Canis lupus familiaris: one gene and its partners. The protein of the gene in region 6 purifies or fractionates together with the protein of the main gene of each other region. This does not show direct contact. Links are inferred from orthologs where the notes say so. Each region holds a gene or a part of one and is shown on either strand. Other genes may lie near its edges.

Region 1 (4,139 bases), on a different chromosome or scaffold from region 6:
CCTTCCCATGGTGCGTGTATGCTCTCTCTCTCAGATAAATAAATAGAACCTTTTCTTTAAAAAGTAAAAAATGCTTTATGAAATGTAAGTTAGTAGATTTGCACAGACCTATCTTCAGTTCTTCAGAACTCTGTGTTGTTTTGTGTTAAAGATAATAAACATGGGGGGATCCCTGGGTAGCTCAGCGGTTTGGCGCCTGCCTTCAGCCCAGGGCATGATCCCAGAGTCTCAGGATTGAGTCCCACATCGGGCTTCCTGCATGGAGCCTGCTTTTTCCTGTGTCTCTGCCTTTCTGTCTCTCATGAATAAATAAACAAAATCTTTAAAATATATAAATAAAGATAATAAACATAACACCTCTTTTTTTCCCCATAGGAAAATGGTATAGATTAACTCAATAATAGTTGTCTAACTACCTGGTGTCTATTTCAATCACACGAAATGTAACTTTAACTATATGTAATATTTGAAGATTTACAAAAAAACATTTTAAAAAATTACATGTCCTTTCCAATCATCTTGTTCTTAGGGCAAAGAAAAGCTTGACTTGCTTAGGTTTTGAGCATTTGAAAGAAAAACTTGCCTTTACACACAAAACACACAAAGTATCTGAGAAGACATCACTGGCATGAGTGGGGGCTCTCGGCCCTATAGGCAGGCATAGCATTTGAGGGATTTGGTATCTGTGTTCTCCTTCAGGCTCAGCCAAGACTTGCTGGGTATGATGCTATTATTTGAAAATGTAACATGGGAAATAAATTCATTAACTTGAGTGCATACAAATAAATAAAAGTTTATACATTTAAATAAAGACTCAGGAACATTTCTAACTACAGAATAGCCGATCTTGAGCAGAGGACTTCAGCGACCCGCCACCTGATGCCTCTATTAGACGAGGTAATAGACATAGTGTTTTGTCAATATCTGCTTGGATCCTAGTTATGGATGGCAGGTTGCAAACTGGAGTTACCAAAGCTGAGTTTCAGAGAATCTGTCTCCGTTTAAAAAAAAAAATTTAATGCTCACATTCATTCCCATTACTGGGAATCAAACCCAAATCTCCCGTGCGAAAAATCAAAATCCATGGCGACAGTTCCCGGGATGTACTCTCCTTTTTACAAACCAGAACCATAACCAATTCTTGCCCGTCTGCTTCCGAAGCTCTGACTTTTAAATACTACACGCTTCTCTCTCGCCACCTGTGCGCCCCGCCTCCCCCAGGAACCCGCCAAATCCCATTAAGGCCCGCCCCCGCGAGCCACGCTCAGTCCCCACAGGCTCCGCGCTGCCCCGTTCCCACGCTGCGCGGCCGGGAGTACACTCGGTGGATTCCCTAAAGCCCCGCCCTCCTCTCCTCCGCTTCGCCCCTTTCCAGCCCTTCAGAACCGCCTTTCCCACCCGGCTATTCGGTTGGCCCGCGCCCTTGTGGTACGTCATTCACCCGCGCCACCCGGAAGCCACGGTTTATAGCAACCGTTCTTATTGCCGGCGGCTCTAAGGTGAGGGCCGCGTTTGGGTGTCCCTGGGTGGCAGAGTCCCAGAGTTGGGAGGGGCAGAAGGCGGAACCCCGGCCGGAGCCGAACGAGCCCACTCCCGCTGTCGAGGGGGTGCAGATGTACTGTGCCTGAGGCCAAACTGTGTGGTCAACGTGGTGTGCTCCGCTCCCCATTCCTTAGGAGCCCATCATGGCGACGCCCCCTAAACGGCGGGCGGTGGAAGCCACGGGGGAGAAAGTGCTGCGCTATGAGGCCTTCATCTGTGACGTGCTACAGCAGGACCTGCGGTGAGTGGCAGCGTGGAGGGCCGGGCGTGTGGAAGGTTCCACGTGGGGGGGCGGGGCGTCCAAAGTCAGGGTCTAGCCTTCTGATTGGTGGGAAAGGCATTTGGAGTCCAGCCCCGTGCGCCGATCCGGCGAGGAGGGGCGACATCCGGGGTGCTACTGGGCTGGGATGTGGCGGTTCTTGTAGAGGGTGTGTCCGCGCCTGTCTGGCCTCCCATCTCACTTAGCCGTGGAGCTAGATTCTAAAGCGGGAGTTCTTAGGTTCGAATCCTTGGCCTGGCCCCTTCGCCATCTGTGTGAAGACGTTGTACGCTGCCTCGACTTTGTGTGCCTCAGTTTTCTTATCTGTGAAATGGGAAAGTTCATGGAACCTTCCTCATGGGGTGGTTTTGAGTTTTTAATGTGTTCCCCCCTTGTAAAGGATTTAATGTGAATACTAGGGGCTCTATGAGTATGAAAAATTGTTACTATCACTATTAATCTGAGCAGGAAGTAGAGTGTTCAGAAGCAGGATAATGAACATCCTGAAAGGGATGGAAGATTTTTCTAGGGTGAGAATGGGACACTTTTTTTTTTTTTTTTGAGAATGGGACATCCTGATTGGACGGAATGTGGTAATAGTACTAATAAATAAGAGCTAAAACATATATAGAGCTTAGTTTTTGGTTAGGTGCTATTGTAAGTGCTTTGTAGTAAACAGTTCTCTTAATGACTTTGTGAGGTAATACTTGTCGTCCCTTTTTTAAAGATAGGGAAATTGACTCCTAAAGAGAAAATGAGTCCTAAAGAATTTGCTGAAGTCACACAACTAGTAAAAAGGAGAGCCTAGATTCAAACCCAAGCAGTCTGACTCACAATTCAAATCAACTTCTGCACTAAAATGCTTCTTTAAGGCATGGTGACATGAGGGTCTCAGTCATAATATGAGGTATTCTGACAGGTCCAGGGCTTCCTGTTGGTCACCATTTTCCTCTTGTCCCATCAGAAAAGTGCTGGACCATCGCGACAAGGTATATGAGCAGCTGGCCAAATACCTTCAACTGAGAAATGTCATTGAGCGGCTTCAGGTAAAAACAGCCAAGGTTAGGGACCATTTTGATGTGTTTGGGCAAGGGAGGGGGATGGGAGGAGAGACCCCAGACCAAAACCTGTCAGCTGACCTGAAAGGTGACCACTGACCCCTACCTCTTTTTCCCTGGCCCCACAGGAAGCTAACCCCTCGGAGTTATATATGCAGGTGGATTTGGGCTGTAACTTCTTCGTTGACACAGTTGTGTGAGTGTCTACCTGCCCCTCTGAGCCCACAGGGCTCAGCTTCCCCCTTCCTTCATGCAACAAATATTTTTTTTTGAGTATTTGCTATGTACCAGACACTGTGCTAGGTGCCGGGGATGTGACAGTGAATCGAATAGGACAAAACCCCTGCCCTCTCAGAGCTTCTAATTTGGGGAAGGTGGGAGGAGTGGAGTAAAAAAAAATTGCCAATAAACTGTATAGTATGCTAAACAGTAATAAAGACTTCCCCCACTTCCTCTAACCATTGTTTCCTCAGCCCAGACACTTCACGAATCTATGTGGCGCTCGGATATGGTTTTTTCCTGGAGTTGACACTGGCAGAAGCTCTCAAGTTCATTGATCGTAAGAGCAATCTCCTCACAGAGTAAGTCCATTCTATGAAGTGTCTAAAATACCACCATTTGCAACATCCTTTTCCCTTTCCCCATGGCTCTCTGAGATGATAGATACTTAAGGGCCCATTTCTCCTCCTCCCCAGGGCTAGGGCTGAGGAAAGTAGAGATGCAAAGCTCAGCCCCAAGAATAGCACATAGGAAGCACTCCATAAATGGTCTTGATATTGCTCACTCACACACACATTTGTTGGCTGTTCTATGCCAGGTTCTGTACTTGGCAGTGGGGAGGCCACAGTGAACAAGACAGAAGGGTTCCTTGAAGGCCTAATCTTGACCAGATCCAGAAGGTTTTGGCCTATAAATCAGTAAAACAAGTTACCTCCCGATTTCACCTCCTCCTAATTTTCTTGCTCCTTCACTGTGCTCTCACCACACTGATCTTCCTGGGCTTCTTGAAACACCCTCAGAGTGATCCCATCTTAGGGTAACCGCGCTCTCTGCCTATAACATGCTTTCCCTGGGTACATGCATAGCTTCCTTTTTCCTAACTCAGTTTAAGTCTTTTTTTATATAGTTTTTTTAAAGATTTATTTATTTATTCATGATAGACACACAGAGAGAGAGAGAGAGAGAGGCAGAGACACAGGAGGAGAGAGAAGCAGGCTCCATGCAGGAGCCCGACTCGAGACTCGATCCCGGGACTCCAGGATCGCGCCCTGGGCCGAAGG
Region 2 (3,225 bases), on a different chromosome or scaffold from region 6:
CCTGCACAGTTGCCAATAGTCTCTGCAGGGGAGCCTGGGTCTGACCCCAGGCCACCGTGACTCCAGGCCCCCTCTCCTGTCCCTCTTGTCCAGGCACAGGATGTGCGTCCAGTGGGTGGGGTGGGGGGGCAGCTGGGAAGGGAAGTGGCCTCTCTCGTGGCTCTGCACGTGGCAGCGTGGAGGATGACAAATGCACTGGGCAGGCTGTCCAGGGCCCAGGCAGAGGTGGCCAGCGCCTCCCAGGCCCCAGGGGACCCTCAGGCTCCCTCCCTGAAGCTGAGGCCAGAATCCACCACCCACCGTGGGAGGGTGGGGAGTACAGGCCCCACTCATGCCCAGCCCACCTGACTAGCTGACACCCGCCCCCCCCCCCCCCCCCGCAGGCGCTGCTCTGGAACACATCCATCCCCACAGCCCCAAAGTCTGCCTCCTCCAGGGAGCCCTCCCTGCCTCCCCCCACACAGATCTGCACACACCCCCCCCCCGTGGCCCCCGGATCGAGGAGCTCACCTCACCCCGCCCCCAGGGACACAGCCTCATCGTCCCTTCCACCCTCTGTGGCTGCTGCCCCACCATCTCTGACTCCACCACCTACTCCAGCCCTGGCACGAACCCGCGGCCTAGAGCTGCCCGCAGGTATGGCCTCCAGGGCCCTATCCAAGGGGTCCCCCGGCCAGGATCAATGCGCTCCCCGACACACGCGGGCTCTGCAGGGCGCCTCTTCCACGCCGCCCTCCAGGACCACCCGCTCCAGCCTCCGCCCTGCTCTGAGTCCTCAGAGCCCCGACCGCCCGCACCCCCAGGCCCTTCCCCCAGGGCCGCAGAGGGCAGGCTGGGGCGCTGGGGGGGCAGGAGCTGCGGCCGAGCCGGCCGTCGGGGCTACAGTGCGGCCGAGCGGGCCGGGCCGGGGCGGGGACAGCCTTCGCCGCGCCGGGCCGGGAGGGGCCGCGGGAAGGTCCCTCCGGGGCCCCCCTGCCCCCGCCCCCCGCCGCGGGTCCCCGCGCCCCCGGCCCCGGCCCGGCCCCGCCACTTGTTGCTGCGGCTCGGCTCGGGGCTCCAACTCTGCGCCCGCTCGGCTCGGCCCCGGCTCGGGTCCGGGTCCCGGTCGGGGGTTCCGAGGGGCGGGACCTCGGCCGCATCCCCGCGGACCGGCTCTGTACCTGCGCGCGGTCCGCCCGCCGCGCAGCTGTCAGTCATGCGGACACGAGGAAGGCGAAGCGCCGCCGTCGGGCCCTTTCGGTCCCGCTAGGCCGCCGTAGGCCGGGACGTACCAAGGCGAAGGGCCGGGGGGGGGGCGACGCTTGCTCCGGTAGCGGCCGCGTGGGCCCCGGAGCCCCCGGTCCGCGCGGAAGGAGCTCGGCCCGGCAGGGAACGGACGGCGGCGGCAGTGGGGCCGGGGGGCGGGCCGGGGGCGGCCGGGGGCGTGGCGGGACTGGGACTTCTCCCCCCCGCGCCATGGACGCGCCCTCGGCGGGGCCTGCTCCCGGGCGGAAGCGCCGCCCCGTCTGCCAGTCCCCGCGCCGCCGCCGCCGCCGCCGCCAGCGCCATGATCATCCCGGTCCGCTGCTTCACCTGCGGCAAGATCGTCGGCAACAAGTGGGAAGCCTACCTGGGGCTGCTGCAGGCCGAGTACACCGAGGGGTGAGGCTCCGGGCCGGGCGGCGTGCGGAGCCGGGGCCGCGGGGGGCGGGGGGGGCCCTGCTGGGCGCGGGGCCGGCGGGTCGGGCCGGGGCGCGGGGGGCGGGGCGCGGGGCGCGGGGGGCCCCGGAGGGACCAGGTGCCGGCCGCGAGCAAGGGGGCAGGCGGGCAGCGGGACTGCGGGACCGCGGGGACTTGCACACGGACCCCGGCAGGTCGTGGCTCCTGCCCGGAGCAGTTCGGGGCTCCCTGCCCTCCCGCCCTCGGAGGCCCCCGCGCCCGCGAGCCCGCGGCTCTGGGGTCGTGGGCCGGGCTTCCTGGCCACGGAGCCCTGCGGAGCGGGCCGTCCCGGGGCCGCTCTCCCGTCGCTGCCCGTCAGCGCGGGCGTCAGCACCGGCCTCGCGGGCGTCTGCACCTTTAACCCCGGCCTGCGGCGTTTGGGGTGAGCGGGGAGGCCAGGTTGCTGGGGAGTCTGTCGGAAAGACCGAGTGTGAGGGAACCGGCCGGAGGCCCTGGAAGCCCCGGGCAGGAACCGCCCAGCCCTGCGGCTTCCCAGCTCGGCGGCGCTGCACGTCGGAGCAGTGCTCTGGGGATTTTCTGGAAGCCCTTGGGGCAACAGGGGCTGGGCCCCAGGGACACTGACAACTCTAATCGGCTTGGGAAACGGCAGAGAGACGGCTCCCTCCGCGGGGGCGGGGAGGGGGGGCTTGCTCCAGCAGGGTTCGGGTCCTCCGTGTGCCCAGGACTGCCTGCCCCAACCGGGTGTGATCTGCCCCTCACCCACAGAGATGCCCTGGATGCGCTGGGCCTGAAGCGCTACTGCTGCCGCCGCATGCTGCTGGCACACGTGGACCTGATTGAGAAGCTGCTCAACTACGCGCCTCTGGAGAAGTGACAAGTGACCTGCTCACGCCCGTCACCCGGTCACCCGCTGTGCTCACCAGGGGCCGTCTGCGCCGTGCCCCCAGGCACTCCAGTGTGGTCGGGGTGGCATGGAGCATGCCTGTCCACCACCTGTGGATGTGTGTCCCTGCTCTGGAAAGAACTGTCCATTAAAGGTCTTTGCAGAACCATGAAGAGGTCCTAACAGTTGGCCTGGCTTTGTGGGACTCCCTGGTGTTTCTGTGTCCTGCCTCATGCTTGAAGCTGTTTGGGGATAGACGTGGCTCTCACCGTTCAGGGCCCAGAGGTGGCGGGGGTGGTGGAGGGCATCTCACAGCCCAGTGACAGTACACAGACAGCCAAGAGCACTCAGGTTGAGGGTCAGGAGACATTGGCCTGCCCACCACCAGGTTCTGGTTGACCTTTAGGACAAGCACGGAGATCCTCACATCCCTTCCCAGGATCTCAACAACCAGATATTTGAGCCCTGAGTGGAATAACTGCTGCAGTCTCGGCTGCCCATCCTGAGATCTTGCTGCCAGAAGCTTCTAGGCTCCAGCCAAGTTCCTGTGGAGGGGCAGGGATGGTGCCCAGCCTCCATAGCCAGCACTGAGACCCGCACAGTGGGTTGAGGGTGGCCCTGAGGAGGCTCTGCTGGGTGTCAGGGTTTGCCAAGCTCCCGGTGGCCTGGGTATTAGCACTTAA
Region 3 (4,257 bases), about 23 Mb from region 6:
GTTGTGATATTGTACTATAGTTTTAGGATATGTTTCTATTGGAGAAAACTTGAGATCTCTGTATTATTTCTTAAAACTGCATGTGTATCTGGGGCACCTGGGTGGCTCAGTTTGTTAAGCATCTAACTCTTGATTTCTGCTCAGGTCATGATCTCAGAGTCATGAGATCAAGCTCTGGGTAGGGTCAATGCTCAGTGCAGAGTCTGCTTGGGATTCTCTTTGTCTTGCTCTAAACATCAATCAATCAAAACAAAAAACAAAAACAAAAGCAAAAAAAAAACTCTGCATGTGTATCTACTACCTCAAAAACTTTACTTCAAAAAGAAAGTACAACTTCTTTTGGCCAGTTATCACGAGTCTGAAAAGTTGTCCTAGGGATAGATTCCAAAAGAAGAAAAAAAGGTTAAATGCACCAGATGTTCACTGTAGCGTTATTTACAACAGCGGGGGTGGGGGTGGGGGTGGGGGTGGTGAATCTAAGTGTCCAAACAGGAAAATAGGCAAATCATGACACAGCCACCAAGAATTATTACTCATTTGATGCGGCAACAAAGAAATGTTATTTCAAAAGGGCTTCAAAATTGTGGTACAATAGGACAGCTCTACAAGGGGATTGCAATATATTACAAAAGTTTCAATGGTAGTATTCTACGTGGAATTGTAGCAGAATTGTTTTTCCTTCCCTCAAACTCTCTGCAATGTTACGTGGGATTAATTAATTAATTAATTAATTTATTTATTTATTTTGCATGGTTTGGGGGTGGAGAGAACAGTAAAAAGGCTTTTTTTTTTTAAATGTTAATGTCGGAGTCACCATAAAAGTTCTTTAAATTCGTCCCTCCCAGTCGGAGCAAACTTCATTTTTCAATTCGGGGCTTGGAACGAGAGTGCACACAAGGGTCGGCAGTCCAGAGCCGGGTGCGTGCTGCAGTTAGCACGCTGGGTGCACTTAGGCACCCAGGTAGCCCGCGCAGCTGCCCTGGCGCAGCGCCCGCAGCCCCACCTCGGGACCCTACCAGGAGTCCGGGCAAAGGACCCCCGAGCGAGGGCGAGGCCGCAGCCCAGAGGACAGTGACCACTCCAAGGTCACCATCGAGCCCACAGCCGCGGCTCGGCCGGGCCCGGGGCGCCCCAGCCCCGCGCCCGGGTCTCGCTCCCGGCCCCGCGCCCCGCGCCCCGTCCCGAGCCGCGACCCCACTGCTCCCAGAAGCTCCGCCACGGCGAATCCCCAGGTTGGGTCGTGGCGGCCGCCGAGGCCCCACCCCGGGCTCCGAGCTGAGCGCCGCTGCCCCCTCCGCCCGGGCCAAGCCCCCAAAGCGCGGCACCACAGCGTAACCCAGACCAGACCCCTCTTCCTTTTTCGCCCTCTCAACCCAGCTTTTCCCGACTCCGGGAAGAACCGGGAAGAGAAGGCGGAGGGGAGCGAGGCGCCGCCGGATAAATACTGTGGCCCGGCCCCGCCCCCTGACCTCACTTCCGGCCCGCGGCAAGATGGCGGCGCCCGGGCCCTGCCACGCAGACTTCCGCCCGGCGCAGAGACCCGGGGCGGTGTGCGGGCCGCGTCGGAGGTGAAGTCGGGACGCGCGTGGTGCGGAGCCGCCGCCCGGGTACGCTGGGGTGCGCCTCTGCCTCGTGCCTGGCCGGGAGCCTGGGCGGAGGGCGAGCCAGGCGCTCCACCTGGGTGGTCCGGGGAGCCTTGCCACGTGGAGAGGGAGGGACGCCGGGACTAGGGGAGGCCACGTGGGTGGGGTTCCGCCCCGGGTCCGTGTGTCCGCCCCCTCGAGTGACTCTGTTTTGCCCCTTTCCTCCTTTTCTCCCAGGCAAAATGTCGCAAGGAAACGCTGCGGGCGAGCCGAGCGCCCCGGGAGGCCCCCGCCCCCTCCTCTCTGGGGGCCGGGGGCTTGTTGGGCGGCGGCCGGCGCCTCCCCTCACTCCGGGTCGCCTTCCCTCCATCCGCTCCAGGGACCTCACCCTCGGGGGAGTCAAGAAGGTACCCGACGGCGCCTTGCTGAAGAAACCCTGCTACCTCGAGTCCCAGGACCCTGGGGTTCACCTGACGCTCGCGTAGGGCCCGCCGCGTGCCAGGCTCTGTGTTGGGCCCAGGGAAACCCCGTCCCCAGACTTCTGCTGACAGATTCTAGGGAGTCTAGACACCGGGCGCAGGACCTTGACGTGGTTCTCAGAAACGGCTGAAGGGCAGAGAATCCTAATTACTTCCCAGGCAACTTGGGCAATGTTTATTTACTTTTTAAAAATGTGTTTGGGATACCTTTAAGAAACCCCTGAGAGCCAGCAGGCATAAAGTTTGCCCTCAATTTTAGAGAGTTCTGTATCCGCCATGGATTATGGTGGGCAAACTGTGATCTAGTGTAATGAATTCTAGGCAGGGCCTTGGAGGCTCAGTGTTCTTTTGCGTCGTGTTTATCACTGTAGATGTTAAGATCGTCCCGAAATTGGGGAGGGGAGGCAGCTGGTGGTGGTGATGTAGCAGAAGCATAAAGCAGCTAGTTTTCAAAGACTTGTTTGCCTTGGGAAATGCTGGTGGCAGTCTAGCTGTGTCTGTTTGTGGGTGCAGGCGGACTTTGTACTTGAGGCTTGCTGCTAGAGCTCTTTCCTGTGATATTCAATGATTTGACAAGAAGTGAGATTAGATAAATAAATTGTAGAAGTGCTCAGGGTTCTCCTTTCAGAGGGCAGAAGCTGAGGCCACTAACTAAAATGGGGTTTTGGTGCCCTGTTCAGTGTGTAAGTCCACTGCTATCATGACAGGATCTTCATTCCTTTTAAGCACATGCCTATCTCTGTAAACCATTATAACAGTAGGGAATGTAGAATGGTGGTCTTGGTCCATACAAGATCCCTTTTGAGAGTTTTCATTTTTCTCTGTACTTTGGGAAACTTAACAAATCAGTGACTCATATTTTATTTTCAGAAAACCTTCACCCCAAATATCATCAGTCGGAAAATTAAGGAAGAGTAAGTAGCTCAGCCTTCTAAAAACTTTCCCCTTGGGGCACCTGGGTGGCTCAGTGGTTGAGCATCTGCCTTCAGCTCAGGGCGTGATCCTAGGATCCAGTCCTCAGGAGCCTGCTTCTCCCTCTGCCTATGTCTCTGTGTCTCTCATGAATAAATAAATAAAATCTTTTAAAATAATAAAACAGGGAAGCCCGGGTGGCTCAGCGGTTTAGCACCTGCCTTCCACCCAGGGCGTGATCCTGGAGACCCAGGATTGAGTCCCACATCGGGCTCCCTGCATGGAGTCTGCTTCTCCCTCTGCTTCTCTCTCTCTCTCTGTCTCTTATGAATAAATAAATAAAATCTTTTAAAAAAATAACACAGATTTCCCCTATTGCTCTGAATTTGGGTCTTTTGGGAAATAACTACGTATGTGGCTCAGAAATCTAAATTTGTGTATTTTTTTTTCACTAGTGATTTTTGACCTTGGCTTCCAGGTGATTGTAACGTGCAAGTTTTAAAAAACATACTGATGCCTGGAAGTCCATCTCTGGAAATGGTGATTTAACTTTTTTGCGATGAAAGAGAGTGATTATCCTTTACGGCTGGAGTTGAGAGACACTAGTTTAGACAAAAATGTGTTCAGTTCTCACTTACATTCTTTTGTATCACAGTCTTCTTGCTTTTAAGCAATACTGAGAAGTCCACATTTAGGGGCAGTCTCTGTAATTCCACTTTTGAGTCGTAGTCCTGTTATATACTCTCAAGCAAGAAGATAAGTAAAGTGAACTGAAAGGAAACTGCCCCATCAAGGAAGTAGAAAAGGTGCTAGACTTAGGATTGGGTTCTGCTTCTTCAGATACAGTCACTGGCTCTTGATTCTCTGCTCGGGTAGAGTAGAGTGTGTGTCAGAGTAAGACCAGTTCTCTGAGGCAGAGTGAGTGAGTGGTTTCCCTTCCTCCATTCTCTTTTCCAGGCCCAAGGAAGAAGTAGCCATCAAGAAAGAGAAGCGTGACAGGGATAGAGACCGGCAGCGAGACGGGCATGGACGGGGCCGAGGCCGCCCAGAAGTGATCCAGTCCCACTCCATCTTTGAGCAGGGCCCAGCTGAAATGATGAAGAAAAAGGGTACAAAGCTTCTGGGGTTCCGGGAAGAAGAAATCCATAGATTTCAGTCCAGACTGCCCAAGAGAAGGGCAAGGGCAGTAAAATTTCCCTGCTCCCTGTGTGCTTTTCCTTGCTGTTGGCCTCTTCCATGCCCCTGGTGAACTGAGTTATTTCCCACAGGGAACTGGGATAAGA
Region 4 (3,500 bases), on a different chromosome or scaffold from region 6:
AAATTTAAGATACATAAAACTAGTATACTGAACAAAAGCAATACAAGAAGCCAAATGATGTTCTGAGTACCAACAAAGGTTCTCAGATTCCAGATAGTGGATTCTTAGAACAACTGGGAATAGCTGTACTTTGGCTAGGAGAATGGTTTAGGTTTTTTAAGGATGGATCCCCAGAGACCAATATTTCAGTACCTAACACTTGAAGAGAATCCCTGTCCCACCTCAAACAATAAAAACTCTTTCAAAGGCTCAGATCTCAACCTAATCCCAGGCTCTGTGTATAAGAATCATCACATCCGCAGTCTGTTAGAAAAGTAGTACAAGAACATGAAGATCACCTCATTGGAAGACAACGGCTGGGTGAAGGGGGCAGTAGAGGGAGTAGTAATCTCACTCATCCGAAGCATAGTCCGCACGATCTCACTGCTGGTCTGGGTTTGAAAAGTGAACTACAATTCAGAATTCACTCCACTGTGCTGACTCTGGCTATATGCCAATGGCTACATCTGGCAAATAAGTGAATGCTCCTGATTTGGGACACCGTCCCACCCACTTAGATACCACCTGGTCCATCCTGTTGGCAACTGCACTGACAATGGCTTGGTCACGGAAGTGCTGATGGAATCTGTCAAGGTTGGCCTGCCAATAAATCCCATCATCTGGAATGGGCTGAGGAGGAGAAAAGGATTAGAGAGAAACATTTAGATACCGTGAATATGGGGAAGAGTTTTCTGGCGAGGAGCTTGGATTTAACTGTTCACTATTTTTTTTCCTATTCAGTAGCAACCACGTGGGGTGGAAAAAAAAAAATCATTCAATCATGTGGATCAGGGCCTTGATGACACAAATTTACAATACCCAATTCAGATTCTCTAAACTCACCTCTATTTATTTATTCATTCATTCATTCATTCATTCATTCATTCATGAGAGACACAGAGAGAGAGGCAGAGACGTAGACAGAGGGAGAAGCAGGCTCCATGCAGGGAGCCTGATGCAGGACTCAATCCCAGAACTCCAGAATCATGCCCTGAGCCAAAGGCAGCCGCTCAACCACTGAGCCACCCAGGCATCCCTTAAACTCACCTCTGAATTTACCTAATCTTTCTCTATCTGAACTCTTCTCCAGTATCCTTAAATTTTCTATTTACCCCTCTCTTCCCACTCTCAGCACATGACCTTGCCTCTTATTTCAGAGAGAAAACAGAAGGCCCTTTTTTGGCATAAGATCTGACCTCTGTTTAATGATGAAGCCTCAGAAAGGAGAAAGTAATGGAGTTTACACTTTGTTAGTTCATTCTTGGTCAATATTGAATGAAGTTCATAATCCTACTAATCCTACTACTTTTTTTTTTTTATAAATCTTTTTTTTTAAATGTTTATTTATTTATTTATGATAGTCACACACAGAGAGAGAGAGAGAGAGAAAGAGAGAGAGAGGCAGAGACATAGGCAGAGGGAAAAGCAGGCTCCATGCACCCGGAGCCCGACGTGGGATTGGATCCCGGGTCTCCAGGATCACGCCGTGGGCCAAAGGCAGGTGCTAAACCGCTGTGCTACCCAGGGATCCCTAATCCTACTACTTCTCAATCAAGGACCTTGTAAATCTCTTGGGGCCTGTTACCTTTGTTATCTTTCTGCCTTGCCTTAGGGTGAGGACCCCTAAGCCCCATTACCTCTTTGTTATCTGTGTTGTGTTTTGGTCTCTTGGCCTTGGGCTCCCCAGCAGCATCTTCATCAGATGATCTTCTCCTTTTACCTTTCCCTGATAAATAAAACAGGCAAACAGTTATGCTACATCTCATATGAAGACAGGAAATCACTGAATCTGAGAGCAGGTTTCCCTCTATCCCAAGACATCTCCAGCTGCCTCTAGGTTAAAGTGGCTGGGGAGGCTGAGGAGCTCCAAGAAATTCGAAGTAATGATGAAGTCATTTGAAGCTCAACATATTCAAAAAAGAAAGTTCTAATCTTTCTACCTCAAACTGTTCCTGTTCCAAACGCTTCCTTTCAGTGAGTAGGACCATTCATCCTCCCCCCACATGCAAGTCAGACACACAAATGTCATTTAGTACTTCTGTCTCCTTTACCCTTTCTGTATCTAATTTTTCACTGGGTTTGTCTACATTTTACCTTTGCCCTATCCTATCTACAAGCAGGAAAATCTTTTAAAAATGCAAATTAGATCATGTCACTTCCTTTAAATCCTTTAGTAGTTTTCCTTTGCTCTTAGGATAAAGAACAGATGCTGTCTGTATAACGTCTTGTATGATCTAGCCCCTATCTTTCTATCCTCATCTCATGGCTCTCTTTGCTCACCATGCCTTAATTACACTGACCCATCTTTTACTTCCTCAAATATCCTATTTTTTTCTCATTGTACACTATTCCTTTTGTAAAAATATTTATCCTCTGTACTCCTTCATACATTACCTCACTGGTTAGTTCCTGCTTCTGTTTCAAATCTTAGCTCAACTGCTACTTTCTCAGAGAAGCGTGTGCTCTAAATCCTGAAAAATTTGGTTCCCTGTTACATATTTTCATAACATCTCATACTTTTCATTCATAGTACTAATCAGTTTCTTAGTTATACATCTATCTGATTATTTGAGTAATGTAACTCAAGTCTTTTTTATATTAGTCTTAAGCCCCAAAAGGTCAGGGACTTGTTTTTTCATTTTACACCACAGTATCTGGCATAGAGTAAATATTTGGTAACTGCTTGATCGATTCATTCACTAATTTAACAATCTTTGAAGAAGAATCCACAACCAGGGCAAATCATAGTTTCAGGGGTCAAAATTCCTTACCGATCAAGCTCAGTTTTGGAACCAGGTACATGTCCTTTTCACTGATCACAAGAATGGGGGCAGGTGGCAGTGGCCCTGGGTCTGAATTCTCAGTGGCAGGCACCCAGGGGCAACGCTGTACAAAGTGTGTGTCTGCTAGTCGCACAAATGTGTTTGATACCTCAGCATAGTCCATGGTCTTGCCATCTGTACAACAGGATGAAAGTGGCAGATGAGATTGCCTAAGTTAGCTGAAGTTCCAGTCCTGCAGCCAGCCAATCTACGCTTTTGCTAACAGCTATGAGTACAGTACTAACCCTCCATAGTCTCTGTGAGCCGGTCTGCCACTTTCTTCACAACAGCTGACATTGTCATTTTGCCATTCAATAGCAGCTCCTCAACAATGAGTTCTCCGGTGTCACTGTACAGTGTTTTGGCAGTATAGATGTACCGGGGATACCTAAGCATTCGCAATACGCGGCTGCACTGGGCTTCATACTCCACTACACCACGTTTGTGCACTTGATATATCACCAGGTTATGTTGGATAAGCACACAGAGGGCTTTTTTTACCTAGATAGGACGCAAAAGAAAGAAAGAAAAGATCTGAAGTCATAGCTCATTTTTGTTGCCAATTTTTGTCTAATAATTTACTAAGAGCTGGCTAAGGATCTCTGTGCTTCTTCCCTCCCTCCATTTGGATAAGCTATT
Region 5 (3,500 bases), on a different chromosome or scaffold from region 6:
GTCGAGCTCTGTGTCCACTCCCATCCCAGAAACACTCTTTGGGGACAGGGACATGGCTTATGTTGCTCATCACTGCCACACAGAGAAGGGAGCTGCTAGGTAGGTACTGAACAAATGGATAAACGTGGTGCGTGCCCTGGGCTCATCTGTAATGGTGCCCATCTCTGCCCCACACAATTCCCAAGGGCAGGGACAGTGTAGGAATGACAGTGGAGCACAGGACACAGAACAAGCAATCACGACATAGTTCGTGAACAATGTGTAAATTTTGCATCACCTCCACACAGAAACAGAAGGGACACGGCAAGAAAGGGGCGCCACCCACAGGCCACAGCATGGCAGTGAGGGCTTGCAGCAGGAGCCGAAGAACCGGGGAGCCAGAAAACACACAGCCCCAGAGGCCCCATGTCCAGGTTACAGGGATGGACCCCAGGCTGAAAGGGCAGAAGCACCAGGGCCACAGGCACTGCTGGGCCAAGAGCTCAAACCCCAGCTCCGGGACCACCTTGCTGCCAGATGTTTGGCAAGTGTCTGCCTCTCTGGGTCAGTGTCCTTGAGTGAGGGGACGGCCCCTCCTGGCTCTCACCCATTCGTAACGTAAATATACCTGGGTGGTCCCACTTAATGAGGGATGTGCCATCCAACATCCAAAGACCTTCCATAATCAAACACGTGTGTGGCACAACAGCTCCAACTACTGACAGACACTGGACAAGTTTACCAGTGCAAGGGCGCCACCAGGTGGCAGTAACGTGAACAGACTCTACAATTCACTTGGCCAACCAGCTGAAATGACAGGAGCTTCTGCAAGGAGTTAAAAAATTTGGAACAAATTTTTAAAGAGATTGTTCACCTTACACCACACCTTCTAAAAAGTGAGCCCTTACTAGTGTACCTAATGTCACACTATTTAAAATAAATATAATTCAGGGCACCCCCAGTGACTCAGCGGTTTAGCGCCGCCTTCGGCCTGGGGTGTGATCCTGGAGACCCGGGATTAAGTCTCACGTTGGGTTCCCTGCATAGAGCCTGCTTCTCCCTCTACCTGTGTCTCTGCCTCTCTCTCTCTCTGTCTGTCATGAATACACAAATATTTTTTAAAAAATAAAAATAAAAACATAATTCAGACATACATGAAATGCACCTACACTTACTACCAAGGGTCTGAGATATGCTAAGCATTATACTGAGTGTCAGGGACACAAGGTAGGGGTCAAAATAGAAGTCCCTACTACCCCCATCCCTCTTGAAAATAATGGTCTGGTGGAAGGGTCACAGAAGAGAAACTACTGAAAGGCATCAAGCCACATGCTCCAAACCCCACGGGACACATGAAACAAAACTCACACTCAGATGCATCTTAATGAACTGTGGAAAGCCACAATAAGAGAAAATCTCAGAAAGAGCCAGAGGGGACCAAGGGACTCATCACTAGAAACAATGGGAATGAGAACACAATGAAACTATGTCAGTGTGTGGAAGGGAAACCATCAACCTCGAATCCTACACTCAAGAAAAATATCTTTTAACAATAAAGGTGAAGGGCAGCCACAGTGGCTCAGCGGTTTAGCACCAGGGCGTGATCCTGGAGACCTGGGATCGAGTCCCATATTGGGCTCCCTGCATGGAGCCTGCTTCTCCCTCTGCCTGTGTCTCTGCCTCTCTCTCGGTCTCTCATGAATAAATAAATAAAATCTTAAAACAAACAATCAATAAAGGTGGAATAGATATTTGCAACCAAACAATACCCAAGTAACTCCTCCCCCCTGCAGATCTTCTTTAAGGGAACACCCCGGCAATTTTTGGCAGGAGGTAATTATCCCAGATAGAAACTCAGATGCAGAAAGGGATGATAAGCAAAATCAAAAAGAAAATATGTGAAATCTGAAGAACACTGACTGGATAAAATAACATCTTGTGGATTTTAAACTACAATTAAAAATATAGAAATAAAAAAATAGAAATACAATGGCACATGAGTTGAGAGGAAGATAAACAGAAAGCATTCTAAGGTCTCTGAATTGTACTGGATAAGAATAAAATACAGCCATTAATATAACTATGATCAGTTATGAATGCACTCTGAATCTGTAGGCTACTCACTAAAAGAACCCAGAAAGGGTAACTTCTAAATTAGCAGGGAGAAATGGAGTAACAAAAAAGGATCAAGTAGCAGGTAAGAATGGATATAAAATGCAGGACAACCAGTGCTATGGTAGACTTAAACCCAAAACATCAGTAATCACGAACTGAAATGCATCAGATGGTCCCATGCAGAGGAACTCACCTCTTCACCACCCAGTTTCCCTGGACCAGCATCGCCACCTTCTGGATGCCACGCAGAACAGCCACAGAGTCGATGGAGGGGCCTAGGAGGCTCATCAAGTTGGCAAAAGGCATGACCTTCACTGAGGAGGACACAGATGTCAGACAAGCGAAGGGGCCCTTCCTTCTCCCTCACCAAGTCTATACAGCTTCAGGCTCATGTAACCACTCCAGCGTGTGAATAACACTGACACATGGGTAATAATAAGAGCTGACTTCACTGGCTGCTTGTGTGGGCACCCCACCTTACTGAATTCTGGAGGAAACACCCCAAGGGGTGCTCCTTAAAGGTAAGACTACTACGGGGTGCCTGGCTCAGCTGGTAAAGTCGTGACTCTTGATCTCAGGGTCATGAGTTCAAGTCCCATGTTTGGTGTGGAGTGTACTCAGAAAAAAAAAAAGGTAAGACCATGACTCCTGGGGCCCAAAAAGGGCCCGGGGAAGGCCTGTTGGCAGCGAGGGCAGTGGCCTGGCACCCCAGCAGCCCCAGGCAGAGCTGGGAGCTCGCCTCTGCTCAGGCACCTGGAGATCCTAGAAGTGGTATCTCAGGAAAGGAGCCCAGGGCCTGGGATTAAGCTCTGAGGTTCAGGACTCACCCTACCCTACAGGTTCTGGCCCCCAAGTCCTCTGAAAGACACCAGTCCCTACTGGGTGCAGCCTGGTGCAGGTACCACAAAACAGTGCAAGGGAACGAATGGAGCTCATGTTCACGTGCAAGGCTCTGTAGAAGCCATGAAGAAGCCTCATCTCCGCCCTCAGGAGCTATCCTAGTTCCCTAGTCTCGGGAACATCAGTGGCCTGCCCAGGCTCACAGCAGGGCAGTGGCCCAGCCAGAACGAGAACAGGAATCAGAGCCTGCTGAGGGAGCCCAACAGGCCACTGTGGTGCATTCCTTCTAGGCAAGGCCAGAGCCGTCAAGCCAGGCCCATGCTGAGTCCTTAGTCTGTCCTAGAGTCCATTTCCCCAGGAGGTGGTAGGGCTGGGTTCCCCCTGGAGGAAGTGGGTGTCCACCCACCATTCTTCATCAAGATCTTGATCTGATCAGCCAGGGGCAAGGTGCGCAGCTGGGCCATGGACAGGACGTTGCTGGGGGCCACGGGTTTGTCTCTGGTGAAAACAGAGACAGTGGGTTAGAGGAGAGGGTAAGAGGAAAGATTTGGGGTGGGGAGGGTGGC
Region 6 (4,185 bases):
CGCCGCCGCCGCCGCCGCCACCGCGGATTTCCTGGCAAGAAGCAAACTCTGGCCAAGACTTCACTTCTCAACCGCCCCTGCTGCCTTCCCGGGGGCGAGCGCCAGGGCCCAGCAGCCCAACCCGACAAGCAGCTGGGCCAACCGGCTGCGGCGCAGGGCGGGCAGGGGGCGGGCCAGAGCGCGGCTCCGCCTATGGAAGCGCGCGGGGGGCGGGCCAGGCCGGGGCCGTCACTCCCGGGTTAGAGTGAGCCCACTCCGCCCCTGGCCGCCCGCCCTCCCCCACTCGGTCTCGGCTGCCCCCGCCCGCCTGATCCCCCCGCTGGAGACACGCTCGGAAAGTGCATCCGCGCTCACCGCCGACCGCCGCGAGCAGAGTGGAACAGCTGGGGAGGCAGTGACCATCTGGGGGAACCGGGGTGTGGGTACGAGCACAGGTGGCGAGGAAAGCAGGAATATAGGTGTGCTGGGGTGAGAGGACTCTGGGGCAAGGTGCGAGGGACCGGGACTGACCGGGCTGAGAAGGGCGACGGGGGTAGGAGGTGGAGGAAGGGAGGAGGGGGGACGGAGGGAAAAGGGCGGGGAGCGGGTGCGGGTGGCGAAAGGTTGCCGAGGCGCGGGCAGGGGCACCTGGGAACAAAGGTGAGAGGGAGGTTCCGCAGGTGAGGTTTGAACCGAAAGGGGAAAAGGAAAAGGAAATCCGGAGCAAGAGAGGGTGTACGTATTCCAGGTGCAGAGAAGACCCTGAGGGAAAGCACGGGGGAGCAAGGGGGAGAAGAGCAGTTTCCTTCCAAACTCTCGCTCCTCCCCCTAAAGATAGAAACGAAGGCTTTTTTGGACCCGTTTGAGGTGTGCGGCTGCAAGATCCCGGATGACACACACAACCTTCAACTCATCCTCGTCTGTCGTGAAATTCATCAAGGTGTACTGATCACCTGTAGTTTGCACCTGTCATCCCCCCGAACACCACCCCCCCACCCCCGTCAGGCTTGGGGTCCCGCCAGGGAGTGACACCCTGCCCCACGGGTCAAGCAGCAAGTCTGAAAGAGGCCCCATTCCGCCCTAAGAAGGACGGTGGCTTGGGGCGGCAGGTAAGGCCCCGCCCCCTCCGCCAACACCTGGCCGAAGGTGCGCCCACAGGCGGGTCTCGCCCTCGAGGTGGGACGGGAGGGCGGCCCCCCTGTCCCCGCTAGGGCAGCGGGCGGACTGGCCCCTGGAGCTCCAGGTGAGCCGGCCGGGCCTCGCAGCCGCCCTCCCCGCGCGGGGAGCTGGGCCTGTGGGCGGGGCCTGCGGGCGGAACGTACACGCCCCGCCCAGCGGCTGGGCCTCGCCGCGCCGCGCCGCTGCGGCTCCTCCTCCCTCCTTCCGTCCCCGGCTCCTTCCGTCCGTCGTTCCTTCCTTCCTGCTCCGCCCGCGTGCCTCGCGCTATGGCTTAGCGCCTCCGCTCTGCCCGCACCACCTGAGGATCCCGGAAGCCGTCCCCGCGATGGAAGAGGACCAGGAGCTGGAGAGGTAACGGCCGAGGAGGCGGGTGGGCGGAGCGGGCCGCGCCCTGCGCCGGGAGCGGGGAGCCGAGGGGCGTCCGCCTGCGGGGCCGGGGCGGCAGCGGGGGCAGCGGGGGCAGCGGGGGCCCGGCCGGGAGGACGCGGGAGGAGAGGGAGGTGGAGAGGGAGGGGGGCGCCTGAGCCGGGAGAGGGCCCCTGCTGGGAAGGGAGGGGAGGACGCACGGACGTGTCTGATAGAGGCGCCCCGTACAATTAGACGGCCCGGAGGGAGCGCAAGTTACGAGGCCGGAGTTAAGTCCCCACACCGCCCACCCCGGGGAGAACAGCAGGACTAAGTAAAACTAACGGAAGGCCGCGCCCGGGCCAGTGTTCGCCGAGTGCTCGTGTTGGGGCGTCCAGCCAGGCCTAAGCCCCTGTGACTGCGGCCCAACTTAGAGCTCTGTGTAGGCAGCTAATGAAGCGCTCCTGGGTGCCCTCAGCCCTCGTCTCCCTCCTGCTTGATTGACACTTCTCAGAACTTCCTCTCTAGTTTATCTCCTGCAGATGGAAACCATAGTGGGGCCTGCACGGTGATAATCTGCAGTCTCTATTTTTGAAAAGATGTGTTTTTGTGTGCCTTTAAATACCCTTTCATTCTCCAGCAGAGCCCACCCTACTCTAATCCTGTTCCTTTCTTGTGACTCTACCAAGAGAAAATTCTAGCTTTAAATATTTAACATTTACGTTTGTGCCCTCGTGGCCATGTGGACGGTGTCAAATGGGGTAGGGAGAAACTGGAGGCAATAATTAAGTGTTTATTGATAGAATATGTGGAGGCAGGAAAATGAGGGGTTAATACAAAATAGTTGAGTGTAATTGGAGTGCAGTAATGTGTTGCGATTGTGATATAGTAAATGAAAAAAAAGCTAGTTACCAAACCATATTCAGTATGATCTCATTTTTATAAAAAATATGTGTGTAGAAAAATATCTGGATTGAAGACCTCAATGGCTGAAGGCGAGAGGAAGACAGCCCTGGAAATGGTCCAGGCAGCTGGAACAGATAGACACTGTGTGACATTTGTATTGCACGAAGAGGACCATACCCTAGGAAATTCTCTTCGTTACATGATCATGAAGAACCCGGAAGTGGAATTTTGTGGTTACACTACAACCCATCCTTCAGAGAGCAAAATTAATTTACGCATTCAGACTCGAGGTGCTCTTCCAGCTGTTGAGCCATTTCAGAGAGGCTTGAATGAGCTCATGAATGTCTGCCAACATGTGCTTGACAAGTTTGAGGCCAGCATAAAGGAATATAAGGATCAAAAAGCAAGCAGAAATGAATCCACATTCTAGTCCCTTATGCACTATACGGGGAGGACTATCCTCTAGGATATTCTCTTCGTGATCTTGCAAAACCAGAAGTAGAAGTTTGTGATTACAACTCCATCTGCCCTTCACAAAGGCGTGCTTCTAGCTATTACCCATTACAGCTGCTGGAATCCCTGCAAGAACCTTTGTACTCATCTAATAAATTCCCTCTTTTATTTAAACTAATTTGAGTGGTTTCTGTTGCTTCATCTGGTAGATTGACTGTTTTAGGGGGTTTTTTGGTTTGTTTTTTTTTCTTTTAATTGAGCCAACAGTGAACGTAAGGAAGCTAGGAGAATATTAGAGACCTAGACAAAGACTTTGATCAAGAGAATTCAAAAGAATGTGCACTTGTGGCTATGATTGGGGAAGGAGGAGAGATGCAATAGAGCGTGAGCACAGACTGTGGTGGGTTTAAAAAAGAAAGGTGGAAGTGGGAGGAGGATTTAGCTTCTTGCTAGATATTTTTTAGTAATTCATGAGAGAATTTGCATCTTTTACTATGACTGCTGGGTTCAAGCGTGGGGAATAATTTGAAAGAATTGTGAGAATTTTGGATTCACAGGAGAGTTAGGATCTAGTTCTACCTTTGTGGTTGCATATATAGGATGGATGCCAGTTTACTGCTTTAATTTCAGGACACTAATAAAATATTTTGTCAGAAATGACCTGAGTAGGTCGAGAGTTTATACTGTAAAAGAAGAAAACTGGGATGATCAGGGAACATCTTCAGTCCTTAGGTGCGTATCTAAGTATATAGCCCAGGGTTACAATAAGGATGAAGAGAAAAATTTCCAAGTTGGGAAAGTGATTTTTTTTTTTTTTTTTTACCTTAAAATACTAGTGAACCTCTTCAAGGTGTCCTGTTAATCTCATCAGCCTTGTCTGCTAGCTGTCCTACATCAACTTGTCTCTTAATTCACCCTAAATCTCGTTAACCTTTGACCTGAGCACCTCACTCCCAGCACTCTGTGCTTTGGGGTCTTTGTTTTTGCTGTACATATTCTTGGAACACCCTTACTCTTCTACACTCTAGGGTAGGTGAGAACTTAGAGGTCAAGACTCCCACCCTGGTTTGGGGACTTGCCTGTACTTTCATTTTACTCCTGTGTTTCATGGTCTTGGATTTACTATGCTGTTGTTAGTGCTTATGTTGTCTACCCACTATACTGACTTGCAGCCCGATGCCTGATGGGTAGTAGGCAATTAGAAAATACTGGCTAAATCCATGTTGGTAGTTATGGCACGTAGCCTTTTATTCACTCCAATCAGACCTCTTTCTACTATTCTGCCATAGAAACTACATTTCCTATACTCAGTCAACATGTTTG
Region 7 (3,500 bases), on a different chromosome or scaffold from region 6:
TTCAGGAGGATGGAAGGAAGGTGAGGGGTGAATAGGTAAAATAGAGAATTCTGAGAGCAGTACCCAATTATTCTACAGGATACAGTAAAGGGAACACAGGACACAGGTCATTAAGTTGTACTTACATTCCCTGGGTTTTAGAATGTACAACAGGAAAAACTAATTCTAAACCCTAAAAATAATAATGTATCAATATCAGCTTAAGAACTGTAACAAATGTTATCACACTAATGCAAGATGTCAACAATAGGAGCAACTGTGTTTGTGTATGCTGGGGTGGAGAAGTGAACAGAGGTATTATTTTCTACTCATTTTTTCTGTAAATCTAAAACTGCTATAAAACAATAAAGCCTATCAATTAAGGAAATAATAGGAAAACGAACATCTTTTCAATACAGGGTTCTAGAACTACTGAATAACCATATGAATAAGAAAATATATCTCAAGGATCTACTTCATATTACACACAAAGATTAAAGACTTATCACAGATCTAAATAACAAAGCTAAAACTAAAAAATTCTAGAAGCTTATAAAAAGTATCTTCACAATCCAGCAGTAGGCAAGTTTCTTACGTAGGATCCCAAAAGCAACAACCAAAAAAATAAGACAAACTGATCATCAATATTAAAAACTTCTGTTTATGAAATGATACCATTAAAAAGAGACAAGTTTACCAACTGGAGTAAAATATTAACAAATGATCTGAAAAGGATCTGTAGGAAGGCTACAAACAGAACTACTATACTTCAATAATACAAAAACCCAATTAAAAATGAGTAAAGCACTTAAATAGGCCCCTTACTGAAACACATGAAAAAGAGCTCTAGAGAAATGCAAATTAAAACCGTGATGGGAAACTCGTATATGCCCATCAGTAAAATTAGAAGAGTGACAAAACCAAATGCTGGCAAGGATGCAAAGCAAGTTATAGTGCTGAATGGGAAATTTGCCTGTTTTTCATAAAGTTAAACACATCTACTCTGTGACCTAGCATTCCACTTTTAGTTTTTACCTAGGAGAAATGAAAATGTACATTCACAGCTTTATTCATAATAGCTCCATAATGGAAACAGCCCAAATGTCTATCGATGAAGACAGGCAATTAAATTATACATTCATGCAACTGAATACGACGAACAACAAAAAGAAACCATTACAACAAACAGCATGCATGAAATGCAAAAAAAAAAAAAAAAAAAAAAAAAACATGTTGAGCAAAAGAGGTCAGATTTTCAAACACTGTATAATGAAAAATTCCATTAACATGAAATTTTAGAATAAACAAAACTACTTTCACAATAAATGTAATCAGAACAGTGGTTGTATTCTGGAATGGAGAGAGGACTGACCAGGAAAGGGCATAAGCATCTTTCTGAAATAGAACAGAATACATGCTCTCACCAGAATTTATTGAACTGTACACTATGATCTGTGCGTTCTGTTGTATGTAAATTAGATCTCATTTTATTGTATGTAAATTATACTTCATATTAAAAAAAACTGAACACACTGTCCAAATGTATTTGAAGACTGGATCTTATTGTAGGGAATAGAGTAAAAGGATTGATTTCTTTTTTCATTTCATATTTTCTGTATAGTGTGGTACTTCCATGTATACATTTACAGTAACTTATACAAAAATTCCTACACTTAACTGTTACCAGCTTTAAGTACAAATCTATTGCCAACTTTAGAAGTATAGAGGCTGGTTGTAGGATCCCAGCTGGTCATGCCCAGGATGCTCTACCAGTTTAACTGATTCTGAAAAGCTTTTTTAAATTATTAATGCCTTACAGATTTGACAGTAAAATTTTACCTGTGTTTTTATTAGCAATAAAGGGTTAGTTAACAGTTCTTAAATGATTATGCAATTCCTACATAATTTTTTGTTAAAGGAAAAAATAGACACGTGTATATATATTCTTATGTATATATATATCAATGTATACATGCAGAACTGGTAGGAGAGGCTAGTGCAGAACATATGAGGATATACTTCAGCTTCTTTTGAAAAACTAAAAGACCTATCCCACAGGGCCTTTATCATATGGCGCGTTATGGGTGCTCTAACCTCATTCTTCATTCACTTTCATTACCTGCCTGGTCCTGCAACCATTTGAATTTTCAACTCCTATTTGATATAAAGGATTCGAACAGGGTAGTAGTATGAAGGAACTATTGTGTATAACTGAGAAATTATGAAATAAAATTTTTTTCTTACTGCCTAAGATCATTCTGATGCTATCCAAAGAAAAGAATAAATTCTATTAGACACATTATCTGCATACACATGTGAGTTTGAGAAGAATGGAATTTAAAAATTTACCAAGATTAAATGGACAGTAATTTTTTTTCTTTTAAAAATAATTTTCAGGAAACCACAACAGCAATCCATTTGCTTCCCAAATCTCTTAAGATTTTCCAAATTACATAATTATACAATTAGAGAAAGCATAAAAAAGTGTGTGTATAAATACATACCATAAGCTTTTTCCCTGGTTCAGGACAGAAAATAACAAAATCTGCTTCGATGTTAAGATGAATGTGTCCTTGATCATCATAAATATCTCCCAGTTCACCCACTACTTTGATGTTATCATATGCAATGGGGACACCTGAAAGGCTATTAGAAAAGAAAGAAATTTATTTTTATCTTCTTTTAAACTAGGCCATAATTATTAAATATTCAGAGTCCAAAAATTATATGCCTCTTAAATATACTCACGCATGCCAAAACACAATAGCATATGATTAATCCATAACAACTTGAGTAATTCAATTTCACCAAAAGGTTCCAATATATTGACTAAATAAAAGACTGTTCAAGACAGGTACCCAGAAACAAAATGTCCAATTATACATGAGCAGTAGGTTGACCTATTAGAATTCTAGTCATGCTAGAATGTGGGGGTGGGGGTGGGGGGGAGACTTGAATGAAAAATGTCTCTGAGTATAACCAAATCAAGACAATTTTGGTATTATCTACCATTACTGAATTTCTGTACTGGATGGCCTATAGTAAGAGAATTACCAGAATCACAGGTCAAGCCCCTGAATATTAAAGCCAATGACTTAGAGAAAAATCCTCAAACTCCATCTGTATGTAACAAATAGTAATGTTAATAAATGAAATATATAGTTATAATTATTAAGAACCCATTTTGCCACTTTAGTCTACATAGGGGACAGGATTAGGGAGCAACTACTATTTGAAAATGTCATTTCCAAGTACTTAACAAATTTTAACTACTAAGGAGGCAGACCTGGTGGCTTCACTACCACACCTACTACTTGATCAAGAAAACGTCCTAGACTCAGCAAGGCAAGGATGAAATCACTCCTCCTCCACTCTTAGAAGATTCCATGGCACAGCATCATCACTGAACTTAATCTCATTTTATGAACTATCTGCAAATATGTTTGCATTCCACACACTACTAGAGTAGTGGCCCTTCAGAGCCCAGCACATTTTTGTTGAACTCTACTAAATTTCTAAAA

The links.
Region 1: the proteins of POLR1D (region 6) and UXT purify together in Homo sapiens (affinity purification with mass spectrometry; 3 studies listed by BioGRID and IntAct, with this or other methods). This does not show direct contact. The link is inferred for Canis lupus familiaris from reciprocal best matches to the Homo sapiens genes POLR1D and UXT.
Region 2: the proteins of POLR1D (region 6) and POLR2L purify together in Homo sapiens (affinity purification with mass spectrometry; 4 studies listed by BioGRID and IntAct, with this or other methods). This does not show direct contact. The link is inferred for Canis lupus familiaris from reciprocal best matches to the Homo sapiens genes POLR1D and POLR2L.
Region 3: the proteins of POLR1D (region 6) and POLR3D purify together in Homo sapiens (affinity purification with mass spectrometry; 6 studies listed by BioGRID and IntAct, counting the BioPlex papers as one, with this or other methods). This does not show direct contact. The link is inferred for Canis lupus familiaris from reciprocal best matches to the Homo sapiens genes POLR1D and POLR3D.
Region 4: the proteins of POLR1D (region 6) and POLR3C purify together in Homo sapiens (affinity purification with mass spectrometry; 3 studies listed by BioGRID and IntAct, with this or other methods). This does not show direct contact. The link is inferred for Canis lupus familiaris from reciprocal best matches to the Homo sapiens genes POLR1D and POLR3C.
Region 5: the proteins of POLR1D (region 6) and POLR3E purify together in Homo sapiens (affinity purification with mass spectrometry; 3 studies listed by BioGRID and IntAct, with this or other methods). This does not show direct contact. The link is inferred for Canis lupus familiaris from reciprocal best matches to the Homo sapiens genes POLR1D and POLR3E.
Region 7: the proteins of POLR1D (region 6) and POLR1F purify together in Homo sapiens (affinity purification with mass spectrometry; 3 studies listed by BioGRID and IntAct, counting the BioPlex papers as one, with this or other methods). This does not show direct contact. The link is inferred for Canis lupus familiaris from reciprocal best matches to the Homo sapiens genes POLR1D and POLR1F.

What each region holds. Positions count from the first base shown.
Region 1 is NC_049260.1:41,479,973-41,484,111, reverse strand, and holds the start of UXT (protein UXT), read left to right. Parts: upstream 1-1,339; 5' UTR 1,340-1,499; intron 1,500-1,676; 5' UTR 1,677-1,685; coding exon 1,686-1,783; intron 1,784-2,765; coding exon 2,766-2,862; intron 2,863-2,987; coding exon 2,988-3,055; intron 3,056-3,332; coding exon 3,333-3,440; intron 3,441-4,139. UniProt on the Homo sapiens protein: Involved in gene transcription regulation. Acts in concert with the corepressor URI1 to regulate androgen receptor AR-mediated transcription. Together with URI1, associates with chromatin to the NKX3-1 promoter region.
Region 2 is NC_049239.1:45,633,313-45,636,537, reverse strand, and holds POLR2L (DNA-directed RNA polymerases I, II, and III subunit RPABC5), read left to right. Parts: upstream 1-1,476; 5' UTR 1,477-1,546; coding exon 1,547-1,641; intron 1,642-2,424; coding exon 2,425-2,533; 3' UTR 2,534-2,725; downstream 2,726-3,225. UniProt on the Homo sapiens protein: DNA-dependent RNA polymerase catalyzes the transcription of DNA into RNA using the four ribonucleoside triphosphates as substrates.
Region 3 is NC_049246.1:35,180,821-35,185,077, reverse strand, and holds the start of POLR3D (DNA-directed RNA polymerase III subunit RPC4), read left to right. Parts: upstream 1-1,457; 5' UTR 1,458-1,607; intron 1,608-1,820; 5' UTR 1,821-1,825; coding exon 1,826-1,990; intron 1,991-2,932; coding exon 2,933-2,976; intron 2,977-3,931; coding exon 3,932-4,083; intron 4,084-4,242; coding exon 4,243-4,257. UniProt on the Homo sapiens protein: DNA-dependent RNA polymerase catalyzes the transcription of DNA into RNA using the four ribonucleoside triphosphates as substrates.
Region 4 is NC_049238.1:59,294,372-59,297,871, reverse strand, and holds part of POLR3C (DNA-directed RNA polymerase III subunit RPC3), read right to left. Parts: intron 3,363-3,500; coding exon 3,107-3,362; intron 2,997-3,106; coding exon 2,811-2,996; intron 1,766-2,810; coding exon 1,677-1,765; intron 670-1,676; coding exon 565-669; intron 432-564; coding exon 339-431; intron 1-338. UniProt on the Homo sapiens protein: DNA-dependent RNA polymerase catalyzes the transcription of DNA into RNA using the four ribonucleoside triphosphates as substrates.
Region 5 is NC_049227.1:23,570,138-23,573,637, forward strand, and holds part of POLR3E (DNA-directed RNA polymerase III subunit RPC5), read right to left. Parts: intron 3,433-3,500; coding exon 3,341-3,432; intron 2,409-3,340; coding exon 2,288-2,408; intron 1-2,287. UniProt on the Homo sapiens protein: DNA-dependent RNA polymerase catalyzes the transcription of DNA into RNA using the four ribonucleoside triphosphates as substrates.
Region 6 is NC_049246.1:12,056,376-12,060,560, reverse strand, and holds the start of POLR1D (protein POLR1D), read left to right. Parts: upstream 1-1,385; 5' UTR 1,386-1,483; coding exon 1,484-1,509; intron 1,510-2,463; coding exon of another isoform or gene 2,464-2,839; exon of another isoform or gene 2,840-3,040; intron 3,041-4,185. Other genes in the region: DNA-directed RNA polymerases I and III subunit RPAC2, read left to right, coding at 1,484-1,509, 2,464-2,839.
Region 7 is NC_049235.1:33,898,179-33,901,678, forward strand, and holds part of POLR1F (DNA-directed RNA polymerase I subunit RPA43), read right to left. Parts: intron 2,626-3,500; coding exon 2,484-2,625; intron 1-2,483. UniProt on the Homo sapiens protein: Component of RNA polymerase I (Pol I), a DNA-dependent RNA polymerase which synthesizes ribosomal RNA precursors using the four ribonucleoside triphosphates as substrates.